6 linked regions of the Ovis aries genome follow. The protein of the gene in region 4 purifies or fractionates together with the protein of the main gene of each other region. This does not show direct contact. Links are inferred from orthologs where the notes say so. Each region holds a gene or a part of one and is shown on either strand. Other genes may lie near its edges.

Region 1 (3,500 bases), on a different chromosome or scaffold from region 4:
AGAGAGGCAGACACTTTTTGGTGTCCCCAGTGGTTTCATCGAAGACCTTCCATAAATTTGAAGCATCTTACTAAGCACTGTTGGAGGGCCAGAGCAAACTGTTCAGGTCCCAGGTTCAGCTCCCTCTCCCAATTGGTGGAAATGAACACTCAAATCTGTCAGGCATGGAGTGGTGAAACCAAAGTCCCTCACTGGACAAACTATGACTGAGTTTTGTAGGCTGGTTGAACGATAACAGATCTCTCCTTCTGGTAATTATTTTCTGCTCAGCATTTGTTTTCTTTCAGGCTGTCCGTTTTCTGTGGCTGTGCATGTTATCTGGTGATAATGTACAAACGCTAAACCCTAGAAGTTGCAATGCTAGTAAAGCACTCTGAACTGAGTGAAGGCTAAGAGCCTACTTCCTAACCTGGAAGACCGTATCACTGATACAGAAATACACTCATTGTATAAGTGATTTTCAAGTCACTAATAAATACTTGTTCTGAGTAAGAGTACAGGGAAACCTACCTTCAGGAGGCTCAGACATGGACGGGGTTAGACAATACATGTGGTAGCCACGATCGCAGTCATCACAGAAGAGCAGCTGGTCCTAGAGGAGGTGAGATGGAAGAGGAAGGGGGAGGTGAACGACTCCCCTTGGCTGGGCCGCTGGGAATGGGTTAGGAGGGCTCTTCCAAGAGGGGCAGGGGCAGATGGCAGGGACCCTCTGGCCAGAAAACCACTGCTGTCCCTCTCCGTCTAGGAAGTCACTGTCATCCCACTGGGACCCCAACAGCCTCAGAAAAGACCTTTCTATCTAAATCAGTTATTCACTTACTCTAACAGTTAACCACACTACTGCATGGAACATTCTCTGCAGGGAACAGTATGAAGATGCCACTCATTTCTTTGCTAACTGTTTGTTCACACAAGCGTGTGAAGCCCATGAAAGCAGGGACGTTGTTTAGTGTCCTTCGTGCCTAAAACAGGGTCTGACACAAAGCAGATACTCAGTGAACACCTGCCAAACCAATCTCAGTGCCCGCTGGTGGGAAGGAGAGGGAAGCCGAGCAGGAGCGGGCGGGGGCACGCACGTCGTTCTCGGAGGTGCCGCAGATGTTGCAGCACTTGCACTCGATGCACTGCCAGCGGTAGGTCTTCACCGCTGCCATCATCACGGGGGTGAACTGGAGGCAGGACGGGTGCCCTGTGGAGGAGAGCGGGCAGGTCAGGGAGCTGAGGACTGCGGAGCAGCGAGGGGGCCCGGCGAGGGCGGCCACCGGGATGCTGGTGAGCCACGGGCCCTCAGGGTCTGGGTGCCGCCAGGGGCTGCACTGGCTCAGATACCTGAGCGGCCACAGTCAGAGCAGGACACCAGCTCCTCGGGCTGTCCTGTCTTCTTGTTGATCTTGGAGTCCCCCAGGCAGAAGTCGCAGTAGTTGTTGGGCAGGGCCAATCCATCAGGACCCTTCTTGGCTATAACAAGAAAGGGAAGAACTCAGATGATACCCAGGCGGGCCTCTGGGTCTCCTGACATCCCCACAAGAAGGGTTTTTCACAGCCAAGCCGACTCCTGCTTGCCTCGCCCCTGACACCAGCTTACATTTCTGCTCCTCGGACCTCTGGGAAACAGGGGTGGGTGGCTGTGAGTCTTCCTTGTCCTCGCCCTCCTCCTCAGCCAAGTGGGAGTGGGCATAGTGGTAACTCAGGCCTGGTCGATTCTTGTAACGTTTTCCACAAACTGAGTGGGGAGAAGATTGCAGAGAAAGGTGTTAGGATCTCAGGGTACCTCATCCCTGCCCCTCTAAGCTGTGGGCTCCACGTGAGGCAGAGGTAACCGCCCCCATCAGCTCTGCTCAGGGACAGACCTTTACTGAGAGCCGCCTCCCCGTGGCCAGGAACAGCAGGCCCGGGGGTCTCAAGCTCCCACGGGTCCTCCACTTACTAAAGCCCAGAGCACGGCCACCTCTGCTCCTCCACTCAAGCTGTCTGGGAGACTGAGCCGTTGCCTTCTGCCTGCCTTGGGAATAGTCTGGGGAGCTCCAGGTCAGGAAGGAAAGGGACCTTCCATAGTATTGCAATAATTCTGCAATAATGGCAGGCAGGAGGAAAGCTAAGACTCTAAACTTTTTTATCCTATCAGTAAATGTAGGCTCATGCTACTCCCTACATACAACACAGCCCACCTCTGCCCAAATAAAGAAGTAAGGGTGGATCTCTTGGGAAAAATCTATCAACTGAGTCTGCTGGGGTAGCTGTTCCCCAGAGAAACTCAAAGACATGCGCACAGCAGTGCTCTGTCCAACCAACAATCCCTCAACCACCAAGGAAAGCAGATCCCCACGAGGCACCCTGTACCTTTGAGCAGTGATACCAAGAAGAATAAGGGGTGGCAGGAAAGGAATGGGGAAGGGATGGGAAGGGTGGCGGGATGGTGGGGAACGTTAGCTGACCACCACATGTCTGTTTTGGGGAAGCGGAAGCAGAGGGATCTGGGACAATGGGTCCCTCAGAATGCTTCTAAAGCCACCCCATGCAGTGGGCCCAAGCAGCCCTAGAGCAACGTGGTGGGAGACGAGCAGGGAGAGGCAGCTTCTGGGACTGTGAGGAGTGGACTGCAACAGAAGGGCCAGGGCTCCTCTCTCCATGCCACTCCAGGGACCTTAACACTAGCGTCACAGATGAGAAAGGCAGGAACAAAGGGAGAAGGGAAAAAGGGATAGGAAAACCAAAAGTCTGAGAAGTTGAGAGAGCTACCTCTCTGGGGCGCTTTCGAGGTATGCTTTTGTTTGAAACTATCTGAAAGACAGAAAGAAAAGTCATGAGAAGAGGGCCTTGGTACACTTGAGACAGGTACAGCAGCAGCAGGAAAGCAGAGCAAACGAGAGAGAAACCCCAGCGGAGACGGTGGTCCCAGGGTGCAGGGACAGAAGTGGGGCGAGTCAGAGAAAAGGGGAAGAGGGAACAGACATCGGAAAAGTCAGCGCTGGACTCCTGGGGCCTGACTTGATTGGGGCCAGCAGGCCCAGATGTCATCTACTGAGAGGCCAACTTTGCCTGCTGTGTGTCCCTCATGGGCACCCCCACCCCAGAGGACAGCAGAAATCTCCCCCAGAGCATGCAAGGCTCACCCATCGTGCAGCAGAGGCCGGGGCCTCTCAGGGATCTCAGAGGGAACCAGTCAGCAGGCAGGACAAGAGTCCAAGCTTGTTTTACCACTTTGAGCAAGAATACAACCTTCCCTCCTTTCATATCCCGAGGAGCTGGGTCGAAGGCAAGGACTACCCACCCACTCGTGAGGCACTCACTGTCACAGGCATAGGGTTTGTCCCGATCCTCCAGGATGGAAGCGTCCAGCTTCTTACGGGCACTGCCCACACCTTTACTCTGCAAAGAAGAAGAGCCCTTAACTACGGTGTCTGGGCCTGAAGAGTTATTCTCTTGGTAGCGGCTGCTAATCTCATTCAGGAAGGATGATGGCAACAAGCAGCAGTAAGACAGTGGGACTCTGCAGGCTC
Region 2 (4,005 bases), on a different chromosome or scaffold from region 4:
GCCTTAGTCGCTCAGCTGTGTCCGACTGTTTGTGACCCCCATGGACTGTAGCCTACCAGGTTCCTCCACCCATGGGATTCTCCAGGCAAGAATACTGGAATGGGTTGCCATTTCCTTCTCCAGGGGAATCTTCCCGACCCAGGGATCAAACCTGCGTCTCCCGCATCGCAGGCAGACTCTATCGTCTGAGCCACCAGGGAAACTCTGGGTTGAAACACAATTCCAATAACCAAGGAGCAGGACATGATGCTTTCAGCTAACAGAACTGAGCCTCACACTGGCTTTTGGAAGAGGTGAAGGCCAAGCGCCATGAAAAGATGACTTTAAGATTTCGTTTTACAGAAGAGGGTACTTTTGAGATACGCCTTAAAAAAAAACGAGTAGCTGTTCTCCCCTCCCCACACATACCTGGGGAGGGAAAGGCAAGTAACATTCTTGAATAAGGGTGCAGATTACAGATGGCCAAAGTTGGGGAGCCTGAAGTGTGACTTCTGAAAGTTTCGAGTCCCAATGTGAGCACAAAAAAGCAAAAAAAGTAACTGCTGTTATTGATTTGATTCAGCAAATGACATCACAAAAATATAGAGACTGTGATGTAACAGAAAGAAGAATGAACTAAAGACTTAGAAACTGGAATTAATTCCTGGACAAGCCACTCATTTATTCAACAAATATTTAATCTACGACCCTCTGCTAGGTCCTGGGCACACAGAACAAGATGCACAGTCCTGACTCTCCCGAGCCTGAATTCCAACTGTAAACAGACACCACACAACTCATTTCAGTTAGAAACCGGATCATTAGATTCAACCACATCAAACTGCCATTTCTGCAGATAAAAGAGGCAAACATAGATGTCTTATGGTTCAACCTAATGCCACTGTGGAAAGTTCCATTTAGGAGAGGACCCGATTTAGACTGGGGCTCTTGAAAGGTTTCGGTGAGGAAGCAACTGCAGAGCACAGCCAGGCAATAACTAGGCAAGTGGAAGGAGTGGGTAGAGGAGAGTTGCCAGGCGGAAGGAAAGGTAGTGTGGCTCCAACTGAAAGATGGCCAGCATCTTGCGAAAGAGGGCAGTTTGAGCCAGTCTAGTGAGGTATGAAGGATCATTTTTGGTCTTTATCCTAAGGACAAGAAGAGATCAATGAAGCATTATTTCCTAAGCAAAAGAGTGCTAAAAAATTCACACTTGAAGAAAAATACAAAGTAATGAATGGACCAGGGAACTGAGCCAGTCCTGAAGCAGGCACAGATCACAGGGAGCCGGGTACAGAGTTCCAGGTGACAGAAGATGCTCAACTGCCCTTGGCTGCAGATGAGGAGAGAGATGGACAGAAGAGGAAGGGATGCCCAGTCCTAGGTTTCACAAAACCTAGACCATTAGATTCGGAGAAGGAAAATCATTAACTATTTAACTAGTATTCTTAAGTCCTTAGAGATGAGGAACTTGGTCCTGTAGCAAAATGGACAAATAAACATGCAAATAAAGTCCAAGGTAATGATGACCCTCAGTTTTCCAGGTGGCTCAGTGGTAAAGAACCCACCTGCCAAAGCACAAGACGCGGGTTCGATCCCTGGGTTGGGAAGATACCCTGGATAAGGAAATGGCAACCCACTCCAGTATTCTTGCCTGGAAAAAACCCATAGGCAGAGGAGCCTGGTGGGCTACATGGGGTCGCAAAGAGTAGGACGTTACTTAGCGACTAAACAGTAACAATGACTCTGAAGGGAGTGGAGGGTGAAGGGCAGGAAGTCTTGGAGAAGGCTTCCTGGAGGGAGCTAACACCTACCCGGCTTTAAAGTTATTAGTAAAGTAAAAGTTATCGGTAGCAATCAGCTAGAGAAAAGTACTCAAGAAGTTGGTGAAAACACCTGGCTGTAAAAACTTAGGGTGATAACGCACTGGAACTCCCGGTACAAAATAGGCGGTCAGCCTGCGCCTGCAATGAACATGACAGGAGCCGTTTCCAAACAAGGGGGAGATCCTGATTCTTCTACTAACAGCTCCCAGGTCACCAAGAGAAAATGCCTATCCAGCTCGCGCGCGTGCGCCCTATTAGGAGAAAGACAGCAATTTTTATTCTGACTCCCTGGCCCCGTGGCAGGTGGCTTGCCTTAAAGTTCTCACCTAACCGAGACGTCTTAATACGCAGAGTGCTCAGTCTGGCCAACGGGAACCCCTCAGAGATTGTTAGTTAGTATACGGGACAGTTCAAAACGCAAAAGGTTCCTCAGGCAGGCGGGCGCGGAGACTACGCCCGCGCGGACCCGCAGCTAAACAAACCCCCCAGACTCCGCGTCGCCGGAAGCCGGCCGCTCCCCGCCCGCGCCGCGCTGCCGGGGGTAGGGGGAGGTGGGCGGGCCCGCGGGCCGGGAAACCCTCTGATTGGTCGCGGCCGGCGCGGCCTCTGACCTCACGCCGACGCGAGCGGCTCCCTCCTCCCGCCTTCTCCGCTCCCCCCTCCCCCCAAGCGCCTGCCGGTCGGCTCCCACCCTGCCCGCCAGTTCAGCGCTGCTCTGGACCCGGGCCGGCGGCCTCCCCCACCAGCACCCTTGGGCCTGGCCCCTCACCATTTCCGCACTTTCTCGATGGCCGCCATCACCTTCTTGATGTCATCCTTGGCCCGGCTGCGGGTCTCGGCCCGGACCGACCGACCCGACATGGCGGCGGCGGGAACGGCGGGGGCCGGGGCACTGCTCCCAAGACACCGAGAATCGCGCGCCTCACGCGCCGCCGCCCGCCCGGCGCAGCAGCGTCACCGCAGCCGTCGCCCCCTCCGTGCGCGCGTGCGCGAGAAGTGCGCGCACCCGCCCTCCCCTTGGGGCTCGAGGCATCAGCGCGCCTGCGCGCTCCGCCCCAGGTGCCCCACCCCGGGCGTCCCACCCAACAGGCCCCACCCTGGGGATCTCAGAGTCCCCTGGGCTCCCCAGCGAGCCAGGGTCTGCGGGCCAGCTGGCAGCACGTGTTGTGTGCAGGGTGAGGTGCGAGGCACTGCCAGTGGGGTCTCTGGCTTTTTCCCAGAGCAATATCTTAATTCTCTGGCCAGGCTGCAACCATAATCTATATTTTATGGACTTGACACCAGTGTTACTGAGGTTCTACACTATCCTGTACAGCTGTCTCTCCTGTTTGGCCCCTCGCTCCCCAGATACACCAATGTGCTCCAACTGTGGAGAATTTCACACCTTCAGTATGCCTTCCAACGTTTGCACACCTCTGTTCTCACCTGGAATTCTCTTATCTCTTCTTGATGACCACTTACTCTTCCAACATTCAGTTAGAATTCCAACAAGACTTCCCCCTGAGATCCTGAGGTGCCAGTTTGTCCATACTTGACACTCTACATCAATGTCTCGTTTAATTCAGCAATCGTTGATTAAATGATGCCTGCACTGCGAGAGTTGGCAGGCAAAGTGCTGAGGACAAAATTGGGTTTTGCTTTCAAAGAGCTTCCAGTTGAGCAGACCATGCAGACCAGAAAACAAGCATTTCAAATGCCATTTTATAAATGCTAGGTTAAAGGGAAGTGCTTTACAAGGTGCAGCCTTAATCTAGATGAAGGGTGTCCAGAGGCATCGGGAAAAAATGACCTTGAGGTTGAATTTTGAGAATACAGTAGATGCAATTGCTCTAAGTCCTCACTGTGTCCACAGACGCTGTAGATGCTCAGTAGATGTTTGGGTGAATAGTCAGTCTTCAGTGCAGCTCCCTGTCTTCCCGTCACCCCAGGCATTTATTCATGCTTTCCGTATGCAGAGAGGGCCCTGAAGCAGTCGCTTCAAGAAACAGAAAGGAAGCAGGTGACAGTTTGCATTGCTTGGTAGCGGCTACTTCTTTCACCTGTAGAGAAACTTCCTTCTGTGTAGCCAGAGAACTGTCTCACTAACCCTGAACCTGACATAGCATCTATGACTGTATCCCCTCTGTCATCCACTAATATCACGGCTCGATAAGCACGTATCATCTTGCTGATGAGGACCCCAGGAATAGTGTCTGCCCGCCTG
Region 3 (4,061 bases), on a different chromosome or scaffold from region 4:
TAAATGCGAATTATTGTCTTTATATTAGTAAAGGTACAAAAGTGTGTGGAATGATCTAGACATGGAACATAGGCCCAAATCAGGGTGTTCTTGGATGGGAACAATGAGGTCAGTAGGGGACAGTTCATGAAGGGCCCAGAGTGCCAGGTTGAGGAGTCAAAGGTCATAGGGCATCACTGAAGGCTTTGCAGCAGGAAAAGAACCTTGTCAAACTTGTGTTCAGTGGGGGTACAACTGGAGGAGGGAAGATCCCGGAGGCTGGAGCCAGGTGTGGGCGGGAGAGATGACAGAGCTGGGGAGGCAGGGGAAGGCAAACACACCCGGGAAGTGAATCTGACCAGACAGGGGACTGACTCTAGGGGAAGACACACGAGGAGGACTCATGCCCAAGATCCTAGCTCACTGGCTGTGTGTGCTTAGGTAATTTACTTAACCTCTATGAGTTTTGGTTTCTCATCTATAAATAGAGATCATAACCCTCATAGGGTGTAGTGAAGATTAAATGAGATAAAACATGGAAAGTGCTTAGCTCAGTAAATACGAGCAGTTATATTATCACTTATTATTAATCACTCTTATGAGTTTCACAATTGTTTTATCGTGCATGCATGTTCAGTCATGTCCAACCCTTTGGGATCCCATGGACTGCAGCCCACCGGTCTGTCCAGGAGATTATCCTGGCAAGGATACTGGAGCAGGTTGTCATTTCCTCTCCAGGGGATCTTCCCGACCCAGGAATCCAACCAAGGTCTCCTGCATTGGAGGCGGAGTCTTCACCAGCTGAGCTATCTGGCTGCTGTTTAGTCACCCAGTCATGTCTGACTCTTTTGAGACCCAATGGACTGAGCCACCAGGGAAGGCCCAGCAAATACTTATCGAGCACCTACTATGTGTTCCGTGGTGTTCTGAGGATAATACCAGTGAACAAGGTCAACGTGGGCCCAACAGTCAGGAAGCTGACATGAGGGGGAAAGAAAGCTATTTAACTAGTACGAAGCTAAATCTACATGAAAATCTCAGACAGTGATAAGCTGTCCACAGAAGCTAAGAAGCCAGAGAAGGAGAGAGACAGTCCCTAGAGGAAGGGCAGGGACTTTCCACAGAACTCAGGGAGGCAACTTAGGAGGAAGAGCTGGCAGAGGGGCAAGCTGGTGGCTTCCACTTTGGAGTGGAGAGGGCTCCTGCGAGGCGCCTGGTCCTACCTCTCTCCTGGCCCAGCTGTGGGGGCTGAGCATCCTCTGGGACCCCTTCCGGTGGTCCAGCAGGTGACACAGGGCGGCTGGGCTGGGGGGTGCCCCCAGGGCTGGGCTCCGTGCCCTTCTGCAGGGAGCCTTCCGAATGGAAACTCTGGTTACTGTTCTCATCTGTGGGGGAAAAAAGCCAAAAGGGTTGGGCCTGAGGCCCCAGTCCCTTCCCTTAATGCCCACAGCCCCCCCCACATCCCAGCATCCCTACCTACCATTGAGATCCAGCAGGATGAGAGGGCCGCCCCCTCGGGGACTGGCGCCTCTGCCCCTCCGCTCCCGGCCTCGGGATCTCTCTGCCCCTCCACCTGCCCTCCGGCGCTCCTGGGGGTTAGAGAGCTAAGGGTCAGAGGCAGCTTTCTGGTTAGCACTTGCCAAGCCTCCACTGTGCAAATAAAGAAACTGAGGCAGAGAGAAGCGGAAGGCCCCGCATGAGGTGATGGGTTGTGCACGCTGGGTTAGGTCTTGAACCCGGGAAGTGGGGGCGGCGGGGGACCGAGGTCTGGTGATGGGGGGGGAGGGGAAGAGGCGGAGTTGCTATTAATTGTTAACATCTGTCTGTGCTCCTGCATTTGAGCTCTGAGTGGAGACTGGAGGTGGAGGCCAGGGTGGGGAGGGGCTTGCCCGAGGTTACACAGAAGAAGGGCCTGGGACGGGGGTGGAGGGGGGGGGACTTGCTCACCTCCTCCTGGGGGTCCACCACTGGCACCCACTTGAAGATACGAAGGGAAGTGTCGCCCACAGTCACCCAGCGCTTCTCCCTGTGGGATAGTGGGGGGACTGGGTCAGAGAGGCCTGAGGGGAGGGCCACCCCGGGAGTGGGACACATCTGGGGATACCCCGAGATGTGGGGGTGATGCCCTGATGGAAGGGGCACTTTTGCTAAGAGGACATAGTTAGAGGGAGAAAACCTGCAGACCCGAGGGCACAGATTGGCAGGGGCTGGGGGGGAGTTGCTTCTAGAGAGAGTGTGACTTGGGGTCGCGGCTCTGCAGACCCCTGGGGTATACACATGGAGAGCTCGGACTCTGAGGCCGGCTGGGGACCTTAGCAATGAAGATCCCCAGCACACTCGCGGGAGGAGTGTCAAAGCTTCAGGGGGCGGGGCGTAAACGGGGGCTCCAGCTTCTGGAGGGCAGGACTGGGGAACACGCTTTGTAGACCCCAGGGTGTAGCCAGAAGGAAGACAGAGCCCCGCAGCTCGGGCGCGCAGCTGGGCGGCACAGCTGGCGAAGCGCGGGTAGACTTATCTGGGGGAGGAGTGGCCCATCGGGTCCCGTCCCTGGCCCCGGGGCAGCGCTCACCATCTCCGGACCTTCTCGATGGTCGCCATCACCTTCTTGATGTCATCCTTGGCCCGGCTCCGGGTCTCGGCCCGCACGGTCCGGCCGGCCATGCTGGCGGGGCTGGGGCCCAGGCCGAGCCCGCGGCTGGGCCGCCTCCCGTCCGGCGGGCTCAGGCTCGGCGCCAGGCCGGGGCGCCGCTCTCTCGGCCCGTCGTCCCTCCGGGAGTTGGTCGCGCCCTCCCTCGCTCCCCCAACGCCTCCGCGAGTCCCCGCCCCGCTTCCTGCCGCCGCGCCCCGCCCCGGCCCGTCCCCGGAGCGGCCGGGCGGCGCGGGCGGCCAGAGCCCAGGCCTGGAAGTCGGCCGGCCCCGCCCCAACCGGGCCCGCCCCCTCGGGGCACCCGGACGCGCAGCGCCCCCTGCCCGCCGCCGAGAGGCAGGTTGGGGGCAGCTGGGCGACTGGACGCGCGCGGCGGGGCTGCGGCCGTGCGTTCAAGCCACGTGGGCGCCAGGGGGCGAGAGAGGGTCAACGTCCCGTGTGAGACCGCTGCGCGTGGGGACGTCCCTGGGACGCTGTGGGTGTGGGTGTGTGTCTCTCTCGCCAGGCTATCAGGTTCTACACTGTTCTACTACCCCTTCATCCATTCATTCAACAGTCTGAGTGCCAATTACGTGCCTGACACTGCATATAACTGATTCTTCACCCACCAAAACGGCTAAAATGAAAACGACGAAACCTACCAAGTGGAGGCGAGGAAGTAGAGCAACTAGATCCCTCATATTTCTGGAGGAGTGTAAATTGGTAGAGATACTACTTCGAAAAGCTGGCGGTTATTCAGCGAAACTATGATCCAACAGTTCCACTCCTAGGTCGTTAACAGCCGACAGAAATGCGTGGGTATGAGCACCAAGGGGCCTGTCCTGGAATGTTCATATCTCTGTGATAGCCTCAGACTGGAAACAACCCATCGACAGGGGAGCGGAAAGTGAACTGTAGCCTGTTTACACCGTGGAGGACCCAGCAAGAAGGCTGAGGTCCTGCTACCCCCAACAACGGAGACAAGTCTCATGAAAGGAGTAGGATACAGAAGTACACATTGTATGATTTCATTTACATGAAGTTCAGAACCGACAACATCAATTAATGGTGTGAGAAATCAGGAGGGCGGTCACCCATGGGACTGGGAGGGGCTAAGAGGAGGGTTCTGGGAACGGGTCATGCTCTGTTTCTTAATCTGGTGCTGATTCCCAGGGCATGTTTACTCTTGGAAAATTCGTTGAGCTGTACGCTTATGATGGTATGCACTTTTCCCTACTTGAATGAAAAGTTTACTTAAAATGGAGTATGTCTTGGTTGATTTTGTTTGAAGCTGTGTTTATCAGCAGACATGCTAAATTTGTGTGGCTGTGTGTGTGTATTTCAAGGGTGTGGCTACTGTGTCTGTGTGTTTTCCAGTGACTATATTCAGAGGGATTAAGGTATAGGAAGGTGGTTATGCCAACATTTCTGGAGCCAAACTGCTGGGGTAAAATTC
Region 4 (3,500 bases):
GCCTCTTTCCCTTTTGGTGCTTACCCCCATTCACTGCTGTACCCTGTCTGTTTTTCTTTTCCCAACTGCCATGGAACTTTCTGGTTTCAACTTTTAAACTTTCCATAGGTTCCTTCCCCTCTGATGAAAAAAAATTACCCAAAAAATAGATCATCACAGACATTTCAAAGAGTCTTTCTTCTTCCATTCTGACTTTGGACTCACTTCAACATACAGCAGGTTTCAGGACTTACTTAAAAGGGTGTAGAAGAATAGCTTATATTTGTCTGCCTTGTCAACAGGGCTTCATTTTTATTTGCAGGTTTTGACATAACCAAAAACCTTTCAACTGTTTAAATCCTTAACTTTTGACTTAACAGGTAGCTTTGCTGATCCTATTGGTGTAGTCTTTTTTATTTATTTTTTTCCCCCCACCTATGAAATCTATGTAGTATATAGTAATATATGTAATATAAATGTGAAAATATATGGCTATCATATGGATAATAGATGACTGGGCCACATTTTGAAGACTTTATAGGATGGGCTCTTAAAGCACCGGATAGAAATATTGTGCCTTACAGAGGTGCCTAACTGATGTCCTATAAATGTTTCAGCCCATGGATGGTATGCACGACAAGGGGGTTGAAGACATCCATTGTGGATCCATGAAAGGCACTGCTATGCGACCACCTCACCCAGGAATGGGCCCTCCTCAGAGTCCGATGGATCAGCACAGCCAAGGTTTGTGTTTGCTACATACCTGCTTTGGGCTCCATATCATAGTCTTTCATCTTTCCTATTGTTATTTTAATTATGACTTGCAAAGAACAGAACTTGTCTAAGGATGGGGTCTGGCAGGTTTCTTTTCCCTGTAGAAATCTCCCCTTACCCCCTCACCAGCACAACTTTATGTTTGATATGGGCAGTTTTCTTTACAAAATCCTAGTAGTTTGACTGGCCACCATGTGTCCAAGCACTCTGCAAAATGCACTGCATACTTTACGCAGAATCTTTGCCCTGATGTTGTAAGATACATTATATCACTCCAATTTTGTAGGTGGAGAAGCTAAAGCTCAGAATATCTACTTTGCTTCCATAAGTTAGCATATCCAGTAAGTGACAGGTCCAAAAGGAGGACCCAAGTCTGCCTCCCAACAACAGCATGGATGGGTGATAGCAGGATGAGCCACCCACGTCCCTTGAATTGTACACTCCTCCTTCATAAGGTGACTTTTTCTGGCAGTGGAATAACCTGTCATCACTGGGGAATGGCTATCTTAGTCTCTTAGGGCTCCCATAACAAATTGCCACAAGCCAGTTGGCTTAAAACAATAGAAATGTATTCTCCCAAAGTTCTAGAGGCCAGAAGTCCGAAAGCAGGATATTAGCAGGGCTGTGGCTGCTCTGAAGTCTACAGGGAAGAATCCTTCTTCGCCCCTTCCTAGCTTGTGGTGGTCGCCAGCACTGTTTTGACATTCCTTGACTGGTAGATCTGACATTCCAGTCTCTGTGCTGGTCTCCACGTGACATTTAACCTGCATGTCCGTGTGTCCAGACTTTGTTCTTTCTATAAGGACACCAGTCACTGGATCAGAGTCTACCCTGATCCAGTACGACCTCATCTTAACTCAGTTACGTCTGCGAAGATCCTGTTTCCAAATAGGGTCACAGTCACAGGCACTAGGGGGTATGTCTTCAGTATAGCTTCATAGAGGACAGGGTTCCACTCCACAGTTGCACCCACAGTAGTGGCCAAATCAAAATATGGCAGCTTTGTCCTCTCCTGGGTGCTTTTCCCTCTCATTGTTGAGGGCATATTGAAGATAGTGGAAAGTATATCCAAAGATATAATGTAACCTCTTTTCAGAATCACTATAGGGGCATTTCAGCAACTCATGGAGGCATAGGAGTACATCTTCACTAATATTCCAGCAGGTTTTTGAAGATCCTAGACTCTGATCTGAAATTTGATGGTAGGCAGATGTAAGTGTGACAAATGACTCGTAAAATCTTGCCCATGTTAGAAAAGCAGACTGAATAATTGGGACTTGTTCAGGCACAGAAGAAAAAACTTGAGCCATTCAGGGGTAAGAATGAATTAAAACAATACTTTCAGGTTTATCATTTAAATTCTGAAGAGCCAGGTGCCTTCACAGAGCTAATGTAGATCTCATTTTTAATACCTAGGAGGTGTAGATGAGTTATATTCAGTGATTCTCAAAGCCAGATGCTGGCTCTGTCTGCTCCTGGCTTTGCAGTACTTCTAATAGTGGGGCCCTGGGACAACGCCAAAGGAAAACACTTGAAATGCATGAATCATAAGTGAGGCTTTTTACTTTTATGTATCTTAAAATTTCTTTCATTGCTTGGTTCCTTTCTTGGACTTGTAGAATGATGATATTTCTTGGAATTTCCAACACTTGGCACAATGTCTAGCACATAACTGGATATTTAGTAAATTTTTTTCAATTAGGAAGAGAAGTGAACTTTATGTATTCAAAAAACACTTTTAAATAGATCGTAATTTTTATATAATTTCAATAAGTTATAATTACTTGAAATGCAGAAGTCTGCATTAAATTAAATAGAATTGGAATTAGAATGTAATATTTTTCTCTAGAAGAGTAAAGTGCCTTGTAAGCTGGGGAATTCATTATTTAAAATATGCTTTTGAATAAGGTAGTATTGGTATAATGCAGTCTTATTCTACATAATGAGCTAAAAAGAATTTAGACTCCATAATAACATATATCTTTAAAAACCTCGTTGTAGGAAGCCATTTATAAACATACCGGTCTAGAGAGGTGTAGTATTGATCAGAAAACTGCCTGCTTTAACTACCTAGCAACCTATTAGGTTATTTTAAGGTATTGGTTGAGAAGCAAAACCATTTCCTTCAATAAATACTAAATTGTGTACCTTATGGTCCTGATGATAACATTGTTTATTTTTAGTCCACTGGATAGAGAAAGCCTTCAAAGAAAAGTATATAATATTTAATGTTTTGTGTGTGTGTGTGTGTGTGTGTGTGTGTGTGTGTGTAAAGAGAAAACTCATATAAAATTGGCATTTGAAAACTCAAGTTTATTAAAAGGAGAGAGGCTGATTGCCTCTCTCTGCAAAGAAATGAAACTGGGGAAATAATGCCCTTGAAGCTGAGGGAAGGAAAACTGCCATTTTTTGACAACTTTTAAATGAGCAAATTAAACCAGATTTCAAAAAGAGCAGATTCTGCATCAACACTGTCATCCTACAGACAAAGGTATATTTACTCTCAGGCAATTTCTTCACCATTTTCTCAACCAAAGATAATTATGCAAATATGTTATTTTGTTTTTATCGTTTAGATTTTTTTCTGATTTTTCCTGAAGTTTTATGGAATGCTAGTCATGTCAAAAAATAAAAAGAAATCTCTCTCTCTTTAACTGAAAGACTGTCACATTTTTAATGTCATACTGTGATAGAATGATTCTATTAGCATCTCCTGTAAATTCTAGGAAGCAATTTTTCCCACCCCC
Region 5 (3,845 bases), on a different chromosome or scaffold from region 4:
CAGTAGGACCAAGACCTGTACCCCTTCTTTTTCAGAGTCACAGTCCCATGGGCTGGGTCCCCACGCGCTGTGCAGAGATCAGAACCCGCAAAGCCCCTCCAAACCCAAGCCCCGGACTCAGGACCAGCCAGAGGCCCTGCAGGCCCTCCCCAAGCAGGGCTCCTAGTCACTCCTCCCCAGCACTCAGCCGCACTGAGTCACCCTCAAAGCCTGACCCAGCACTCCTCTGCCCCTCCCCCGCGCCAGGCCTGATACCCCCATCTCCAAGCACAGGCCCTGGGGGTGGGGTTGAGGGGGGGAGTAGCAGAGGAGAATAAGCAGCTGCAACACCCCCACCCAACCACCTAAAATGCCAAAAATAACAGCAGCTCTCACTCACACACACACACACAACAACAACCCCCCACACACCAGAAAGGCAAATATAAATCCAAAATAAAGGGGAAGAAAAAAAAATCAAAGCCAACTACTGCCCCCAAAAGGCTTTTTAAACATTCTCAAAAAAAAAAAAAAGTTTATTAAAAGTGTTCTTAATGCTCGAAACGGAAAAGATTCCCAAATATACAGATGCCTCTTTTTTCATAGAAATAGATTTTTTTTTATAATACAAAAAAAAAAGGCCAAAAAAAAAAAAACACCAACAAAAACAAAAAACAACATCAACAGCAACAACCCCGTAGGAACATCTTTAAGCGATTACTCAGGGCCCGGCTGACAGTTACACGTGGGTTGCGTCAGTCCCGTGTACACACGCGTTCAGCCATGTTTAAACCGATTGCATCAACTTCGAAACCGGCCCGCCCGCCGGCGCCCAGAGAGGGGGGGTGGGCAGAATGAGAGGCAAGAGTTTATCATTCATCTGTACACATAGACATCTCTTCTTTAAATAACACCACGGGCGGGCGCCCCGTCTGCACGTGCGGCTGGTGTGGACAAAAATATAGATAGATATATATAATAAAATATTAAAATTACCGACGCGCTCCCCGCGCTGCCCAGTGCCCCAGTGCCAAAGTTCTGCCGGCGCCGCCAGGGGCGCGGGCGGGCGCGCGGGCGCTCCCCGGAGTCTCGGCGGCCGCGGCGCGCCCGGCAGCGCGGGGGCCGGCCGGCCGGCCGCGGGGGACGCGCACGGGGGCCGCGCTAGCAGTGGCCGGAGGAGGCGAGCAGGGGCTCGGGCAGCTGCTTGAACAAGTTCCGCAGGGTGCTGAGCTCGCGCGACAGCTGCTCCACCTTCTTCTGGAGCCGCTCGTTCTCGGCCGTGAGCTCCAGGACCTTGTGCTGCGTCTCCAGGTTGCGCATCTTGGCCTTGTCGCGGCTTTTGCGCACCGCGATGTTGTTGCGCTCCCGCCGGATCTTGTACTCGTCGCTGTGCTTGTCCACCGTCTTCTTGGCCTTGCTCTTGACCTGCGAGGGCGCCGGCGCCGCCCCCGCGTAGCAGGCGGCGGCGGCCGGGGGTGCCTTGGCGTCGGCGGGGCTCGGCGTGCCGGGCGGGCTGGACGACGAGGACGTGGACAGGCTCCCGCTGCTGCCGCTCGGCACCGCCTGGTAGCCGAGGTAGGCGCGCAGCGCGTACGGGAAGCCGGCCGCCATGCCCGCGGCGCCGCCGCCCGGAGCTCCGGCCTCCTCCTTCCGCTTGCAGTCCGCGGGCTCGAAGCCCGGCTCCGCCTTGAGCTCCGCCGGCGGCGGCGGCGGCGGCGGCGGCGGTGGCGGGTGCAGGGGTGCGAAGCAGCCCGGGTGCAGCGCGCCCTTGGCGGCCCCCAGGCGGCCCAGGCTCACGTAGCCGTACTCGGCCGCCTTCTTGCAGTTCTTGCCCCCGTAGTCGTCGGAGAAGAGGTCGGAGAGGAAGTCGTGGTGCTGCCCGGAGGAGGCGGGCGCGGGGGCGGGCGCGGGCGGAGCCGCCTCGAAGGTGTCCGTGGCCGTGGTGGGTGCCGGGGCCTGCGGCGCGCCCAGCGGCTCCAGGTAGGGGCTGAAGTCGATGGCGCGCTCGTGCTCTCCGATGCTACCCAGCTCGCCGGCGGGGGGGCGCGGCCCGGGTCTGGCCGCCGGGGGCGCCGCGGGGGCCGCCTTGCCGCCGTACGCAGCAGCCAAGCAGTCCGCCTCGTAGTAGAAGTTGGCCACTTCCATGGATTTAAAGGCGGGCGGCGGCGGCGGCAGGGGGAGACATGCTGGGTCCCAGGCCACCAGGCGTTGCATGAACGCGGGTGCCCGGGGAGGGGGCCTGGGGCTGCCCGCGCCGGCCGGCCCGCAGGTGGCGCGGCCTCCCGGCTCCGAACAGTCGCTGCTGTGTCGCCGCCGCTGCTGCTGCTGCTGCCGCCGCCGCTGCTCCGGGGTGGCCGCTATCAGTGCGGGGGGCTGCCGGCCGGACCCTCGGGTGGGTCCCCTTCCCGGTCCCGTGCGCGGCTCTGACTCGCTAAAGTTTCTCCCGAGCCCGTTTATTTATAAAGGCGGGCCATAGCAACGGCTGCGTCACGCCCGGCGGCGGCCCCTCCCTCCCCGGGCACGCAGAGGACACGCCGCGGCCGCCCGGGACCCCCGGCCGGGCGCCGGCGGGCCGGCCTGGAGACCCGGAGCGCGCCCCCGGGGGTCCCCCGGCCTGCGGGGCCGGGGTGGGGGGCGGCCTCGGGCCCCCGCCCTGTCCACTCCCACCCGGCGGCCCCGAGATGGCGAGCGCGGAGAGGCGCGAGCCCGCCCCCGGACCGCCCCCTCTGGGCCGGCCGGCGGACGAGAAGGGAGGGGGAACCCGGGGAGGGGGCCGGGCGGCCGTCTGCTCCCACCCTGAACGCGGCCGCCGCCCGCCCCCTGCTGGAGGAGGCGCTGGCCTTCGGGAGCCGCGGCCGCCGGACCTGGCTCTCCAGGGAGGGGGCGCGCCCCTCTCCCCCCAGCCAGGGATGCTGGAGACCCCAACCCCCTCCAGCTCGGACTCCCGGAGGGGTGAGCCGCCTCCACAGCCCTCCCCCGAGTGCGGCCTCGCCGCTAAACTGGCACCCCTCCCCAGATCTGGACAGGAGGGACTCACACCTGCGGTGACTCCCCTTCTGAAATAGGAAGACCTGGGGTTGGGGGCTTGGGGAGGTGCAAACAAGGGGGCGAGCGCCCCTCCCCCGGCCCCGCCCCCCGCACCTGCCTGCTCCCTCCCCCTCGGACCACACCTGGGTCTTCTCCAGCCCCACCCCGCCCTGACCTGGGGCCCCCTCCCCGGAGGGTGGAACGGGGGTGGGGTGCCCCCCGACCACACGCTGTGTGACCTTGGACTAGTCACTTGGCTTCTCCAAGTTTAAGTCTGCGAGGGTGTCCTTACTGTTATCTTTATTAGTTGTATTAACTGTCTCCAACGCAGACTCCCAAACGCTCACCGCTCTGGGACACACATCAGAAAGAAGGGCCTCTTCCCAGTACAAAGAGGCCCAGAGGCCCACAGCACACCCAAGATCACACAGCTTCATGTTCCCCACTGTTCTCAAAAGAAAAGCCCTTATCCAGGCACCCTCAGAGCTGTTCGTCATCCCCCTCCCAAAGCACCTGTATCTGAGGCTGGTGGGTGGGGGTCCAGGCAGGACCCAGGGGGCCATGCAGAAGGGAGGAAGGAGTTCTCCTCTTTTAGCAGGCCCCTGCTGTGTGGTGAGAGGGGTCTGGACCCAGAGCTTGCTTTTTCACCCTGCCAGGAGGATGCCCTCGCGGCCCTTGGTTCACAGAGAGGGAGACGAGATGGCCCACCAGGATGGGAACGCCGGCCCCAGGCCCTCCCTGCTGAGTGGGTGCCAGCCGCCCTGGCCCTCTCCTGCACCATTCCAAGGCCATTTCGGCAGCCCCTTGGGCCTACCCTTCTGCCACTCCCAGACCCCGGC
Region 6 (3,500 bases), on a different chromosome or scaffold from region 4:
GTTGATTTTTTAGGATTGGCTGGTTTGATTTTGCAGTCCAAGGGACTCTCAAGAGTCATCTCCAGCACCACAGTTCAAAAGCATCGATTTTTCGGTGCTCAGCCTTCTTTATGGTCCAACTCTCACATCTGTACACAACTACTGGAAAAATGATATTTTCAACTATACGGACCTTTGTCGGCAAAGTGGTATCTCTGCTTTTTTAATACACTGTCCAGGTCTGTCATAGCTTTCCTTCTAAGGAGCAAGTATATTTTAATTTCACGGTTGCAGTCACCGTTCACAGTGATTTTGGAGCCCAAGAAAATAAAATCCATCACTGCTACTTTTCCCCTTCTATTTGCCATGAAGTGATGGGACCAGATGCCATGATCTTAGTTTTTTTTTTAATGTTGAGTTTCAAGTCAACTTTTCATTCTCCTCTTTCATCCTCATTAAGAAGCTTTTTAGTTCTTCACTTTCTGCCATTAGAGTGGTATCATCAGTGTATCTGAGGTCGTTGATATTTCTCCTGGCAATCTTGATTCCAGCTTGTGATTCATCTAGTCCTACATTTTGCATATAAGTTAAATAAGCAGAGTGATAATATACAGCCTTCATGTACTCTTTTCCCAATTCTGAACAGGTCATTCTATGTCCGGTTCTAACTGTTGCTTCTTGACCCACATATACAGTTTTCTCAGGAGACAGCTAAGGTGATCTGGCATTCTCATCTCTTTTAAGAATTTTCCACAGTGTGTTACAATCCACAGAAGGCTTCAGCATAGTCAATGAAGCAGAAGTAGATGATTTTCTGGGATTTTCTTGCTTTCTCCATGATCGAACAAAGGGTGGCAATTTGATCTCTGCTTCCTCTGCCTCTTTGAAAACCATCTTGTGCATCTGGAAGTTCTCAGTTCACATACTGCTGAAGCTTAGCTTGAAGGATTTTGCACATATCCTTGCTAGAATGTGAAATGAGCACAATTATATGATAGTTTGGACATTCTTTGGCACTGGAATGAAAATTGATCTTTTCTAGTCCTGTGGCTACTGCTGAGTTTTTCCAAGTTGCTGACATATTGAGTGCAGCATTTTAACAGCATCATCTTTTAAGATTTTAAATAGCTCAGCTGGAATTTCATCACCTCCACTAGCTTTGTTCATAGTAATGCTTTATCAGGCTCACCTGACTTCACACTCCAGGATGGCTCTAGGTGAGCGACACCATCGTAGTTATCTGGGTAACTAAGACCTTTTTGTTTAATTCTTCTGTGTGTTCTTGCTACCTCTCCTTAGTCTCTTCTGCTTCTGTTAGGTCCTTACCACTTCTGTCCTCTATCATGTGCATCCCTGCATAAATGTCCCGTTAGCGCCAATTTTCTCAAGGAGAACTCTAGTCTTTCCCCTTCAATTATTTTCCTTTATCTCTCTGCTAGTTCATTTAAGGGTTTCTAATCTCTCTTTGCTATTCTCTGGAACTCTGCATTCAGTTGAGTATATGTTTCCCTTTCTGCCTTGCCTTTCACTTCTCTTCCTTCCTCAGCTGTTTGTAAAGCCTCTTCAGATAACTACTTTGCCTTTTTGCATTTCTTTTTCTTGGGGATGGTTTTGGTCACGGCTTCTTGTACAACATTACAAACCTCCATCCATAGCTCTTCAGATACTCTGTCTACCAGATCTAATCCCTTGAATTTATTTGTCACCTCCACTGTATAATCATAAGGGATTTGATTGAGGTCATACCTGAATGGCCTGGTGGTTTCCCCTACTTTCTTCAATTTAAGCCTGAATTTTGCAATAGGAAGCTAGCTCATGATCTGAGCCACAGTCATCTAGACATATTGATGTAAACAAAGAGACCCTGTTAGCAAAAGATGATATCTAATTAAGCAGCTATATCTCCTATCATAGGAACCATATTTTCCTGTATCTCAAGTAGTCATAGATAATTCAGACTGAGATATCAGGTCTGTATCATTCCCCACTCCCTATCTAACAGATAGCCAACTAGTAAATACTACAGTGAGAATACAATAAGAAAAGATGGCTATACTTCCTCCAAACTCTGTAAGATACATACCTGTAATAAACATACCCCTATGGAAGTGTACACAACTATTTTAATAGGGCATGACAAAAACATTTTCTCTAGGCATTCCAAATGGACCTCATTTGTACACTAAAACATCAATGTTACTTTTCATGGTAACAGTCATTAGTTTTGGAAATGAATTTGCCAAGCAGATTATGTAGATACTGTTAGTAATCACCCAACTCATCAGTTTTCTAAGCACACGCAAAGCTACTGGCTGGTCATGAATGTCAAACAGGTTTAGGAATTCATAAATTAATGAATTCATTTCAAATGACTTTCTATACCTTACCTGTGGTCAATGAGCCATCTCCAGTTTATGCTTTTTCTTAAACAGACTACTAGTTTTAAGAACTTTTCAAAGAGACACTGCACGAGTAGACTGAGCTAAAGCTGTGAATTTTCAAATGAAAATTAAATATCCCCTTCCACATTTTGCAGGAGGAACTAAGTTAAAACTGCCAGAAGCGATTACCGTAGCCCTGCTGCTGTCCTGGGTAGCCTTGCTGCCCTGGGTACTGCTGCTGGGGTGGGTAGCCCTGCTGGGGAGGTGGTCCTTGGTAGGCATCTTGCTGTTGGCCATACTGCGTATTTCCTACATGATAATTGGAGAAGAGGACAAAAAGAAAATACTGAGGAGTTTGCTTAATTAACTTTATTCCTCTAAGATGCATAGCCAACAACACAAGAACAAAATGAAATGCTATATTGATTTTTAAAAGTTAACAAAACAAAGAAAAAACTCAAACCAAACAGAAGGATTTCGGCCAAACAAACTGCAGTTAAAGCCAATTTTGCAAGGTTGAACTGCAGCATTTTCAGCGTCTCTGCCATACGAGCATTACATTTACTGGAACATCACAGTCATAAGATCATGACTATGCTAAATAAAATAAAAAAGACAAAAATTAAAGACAGCTACAAGAGCACACACTAGCTACACAAGATCAGCAAGCTGTTTCCTAGAGGCACTAAACTTATATGTAAAATTATACATATGTGAACACACAACAAGAAAAAAAAATTGGATTGATGGATTTATGTTCAAATAGAAAATTTCCACTGAGGAAAAAAATTATTTTAAAATGTTTTAGTCTTTTTATGGTTGTTAGAAATGGCAAGTCATGGTTATACATTTTAAATATTTGTAAGAAAATTATTCTGATTGTTCTAGGCTCCCTGGAACTTTCAAGACAGCCAGCAACTAGTATTCTACAAGAGCTTTGCGTGGGTAGAAGTTGTCTTATGCAAGAATTTTTGTTCCTGTAGAAGGGGATATATATGTGTATGTGTGTGAAGGTATATAGATACCTCCTTCGTAGTAATGTTGTGAGGAATCCTCATAAGGCCTATCGTAGCCTTGTTCAGGATACGACGGTTGCTGATAACCGTAATCATTATGACCTACATCAATTCGACAAGAGAC

The links.
Region 1: the proteins of SMARCA2 (region 4) and DPF2 purify together in Homo sapiens (affinity purification with mass spectrometry; 6 studies listed by BioGRID and IntAct, counting the BioPlex papers as one, with this or other methods). This does not show direct contact. The link is inferred for Ovis aries from reciprocal best matches to the Homo sapiens genes SMARCA2 and DPF2.
Region 2: the proteins of SMARCA2 (region 4) and BCL7B purify together in Homo sapiens (affinity purification with mass spectrometry; 3 studies listed by BioGRID, with this or other methods). This does not show direct contact. The link is inferred for Ovis aries from reciprocal best matches to the Homo sapiens genes SMARCA2 and BCL7B.
Region 3: the proteins of SMARCA2 (region 4) and BCL7C purify together in Homo sapiens (affinity purification with mass spectrometry; 4 studies listed by BioGRID and IntAct, counting the BioPlex papers as one, with this or other methods). This does not show direct contact. The link is inferred for Ovis aries from reciprocal best matches to the Homo sapiens genes SMARCA2 and BCL7C.
Region 5: the proteins of SMARCA2 (region 4) and CEBPB purify together in Homo sapiens (affinity purification with western blotting; 5 studies listed by BioGRID and IntAct, with this or other methods). This does not show direct contact. The link is inferred for Ovis aries from reciprocal best matches to the Homo sapiens genes SMARCA2 and CEBPB.
Region 6: the proteins of SMARCA2 (region 4) and SS18 purify together in Homo sapiens (affinity purification with mass spectrometry; 6 studies listed by BioGRID and IntAct, counting the BioPlex papers as one, with this or other methods). This does not show direct contact. The link is inferred for Ovis aries from reciprocal best matches to the Homo sapiens genes SMARCA2 and SS18.

The regions. Positions count from the first base shown.
Region 1 is NC_056074.1:39,990,684-39,994,183, reverse strand, and holds part of DPF2 (zinc finger protein ubi-d4), read right to left. Parts: intron 3,370-3,500; coding exon 3,291-3,369; intron 2,782-3,290; coding exon 2,740-2,781; intron 1,724-2,739; coding exon 1,586-1,723; intron 1,459-1,585; coding exon 1,330-1,458; intron 1,190-1,329; coding exon 1,077-1,189; intron 593-1,076; coding exon 511-592; intron 1-510. UniProt on the Homo sapiens protein: Plays an active role in transcriptional regulation by binding modified histones H3 and H4. Is a negative regulator of myeloid differentiation of hematopoietic progenitor cells. Might also have a role in the development and maturation of lymphoid cells.
Region 2 is NC_056077.1:34,113,398-34,117,402, reverse strand, and holds the start of BCL7B (B-cell CLL/lymphoma 7 protein family member B), read right to left. Parts: upstream 2,801-4,005; 5' UTR 2,664-2,800; coding exon 2,572-2,663; intron 1-2,571. UniProt on the Homo sapiens protein: Positive regulator of apoptosis. Plays a role in the Wnt signaling pathway, negatively regulating the expression of Wnt signaling components CTNNB1 and HMGA1.
Region 3 is NC_056077.1:27,484,578-27,488,638, forward strand, and holds the start of BCL7C (B-cell CLL/lymphoma 7 protein family member C), read right to left. Parts: upstream 2,801-4,061; 5' UTR 2,641-2,800; coding exon 2,549-2,640; intron 2,006-2,548; coding exon 1,927-2,005; intron 1,569-1,926; coding exon 1,460-1,568; intron 1,365-1,459; coding exon 1,203-1,364; intron 1-1,202. UniProt on the Homo sapiens protein: May play an anti-apoptotic role.
Region 4 is NC_056055.1:70,292,504-70,296,003, forward strand, and holds part of SMARCA2 (probable global transcription activator SNF2L2), read left to right. Parts: intron 1-596; coding exon 597-723; intron 724-3,500. UniProt on the Homo sapiens protein: ATPase involved in transcriptional activation and repression of select genes by chromatin remodeling (alteration of DNA-nucleosome topology).
Region 5 is NC_056066.1:78,225,549-78,229,393, reverse strand, and holds CEBPB (CCAAT/enhancer-binding protein beta), read right to left. Parts: upstream 2,413-3,845; 5' UTR 2,194-2,412; coding exon 1,141-2,193; 3' UTR 501-1,140; downstream 1-500. UniProt on the Homo sapiens protein: Important transcription factor regulating the expression of genes involved in immune and inflammatory responses. Also plays a significant role in adipogenesis, as well as in the gluconeogenic pathway, liver regeneration, and hematopoiesis.
Region 6 is NC_056076.1:31,102,490-31,105,989, reverse strand, and holds part of SS18 (protein SSXT), read right to left. Parts: intron 3,479-3,500; coding exon 3,386-3,478; intron 2,670-3,385; coding exon 2,550-2,669; intron 1-2,549. UniProt on the Homo sapiens protein: Appears to function synergistically with RBM14 as a transcriptional coactivator. Isoform 1 and isoform 2 function in nuclear receptor coactivation. Isoform 1 and isoform 2 function in general transcriptional coactivation.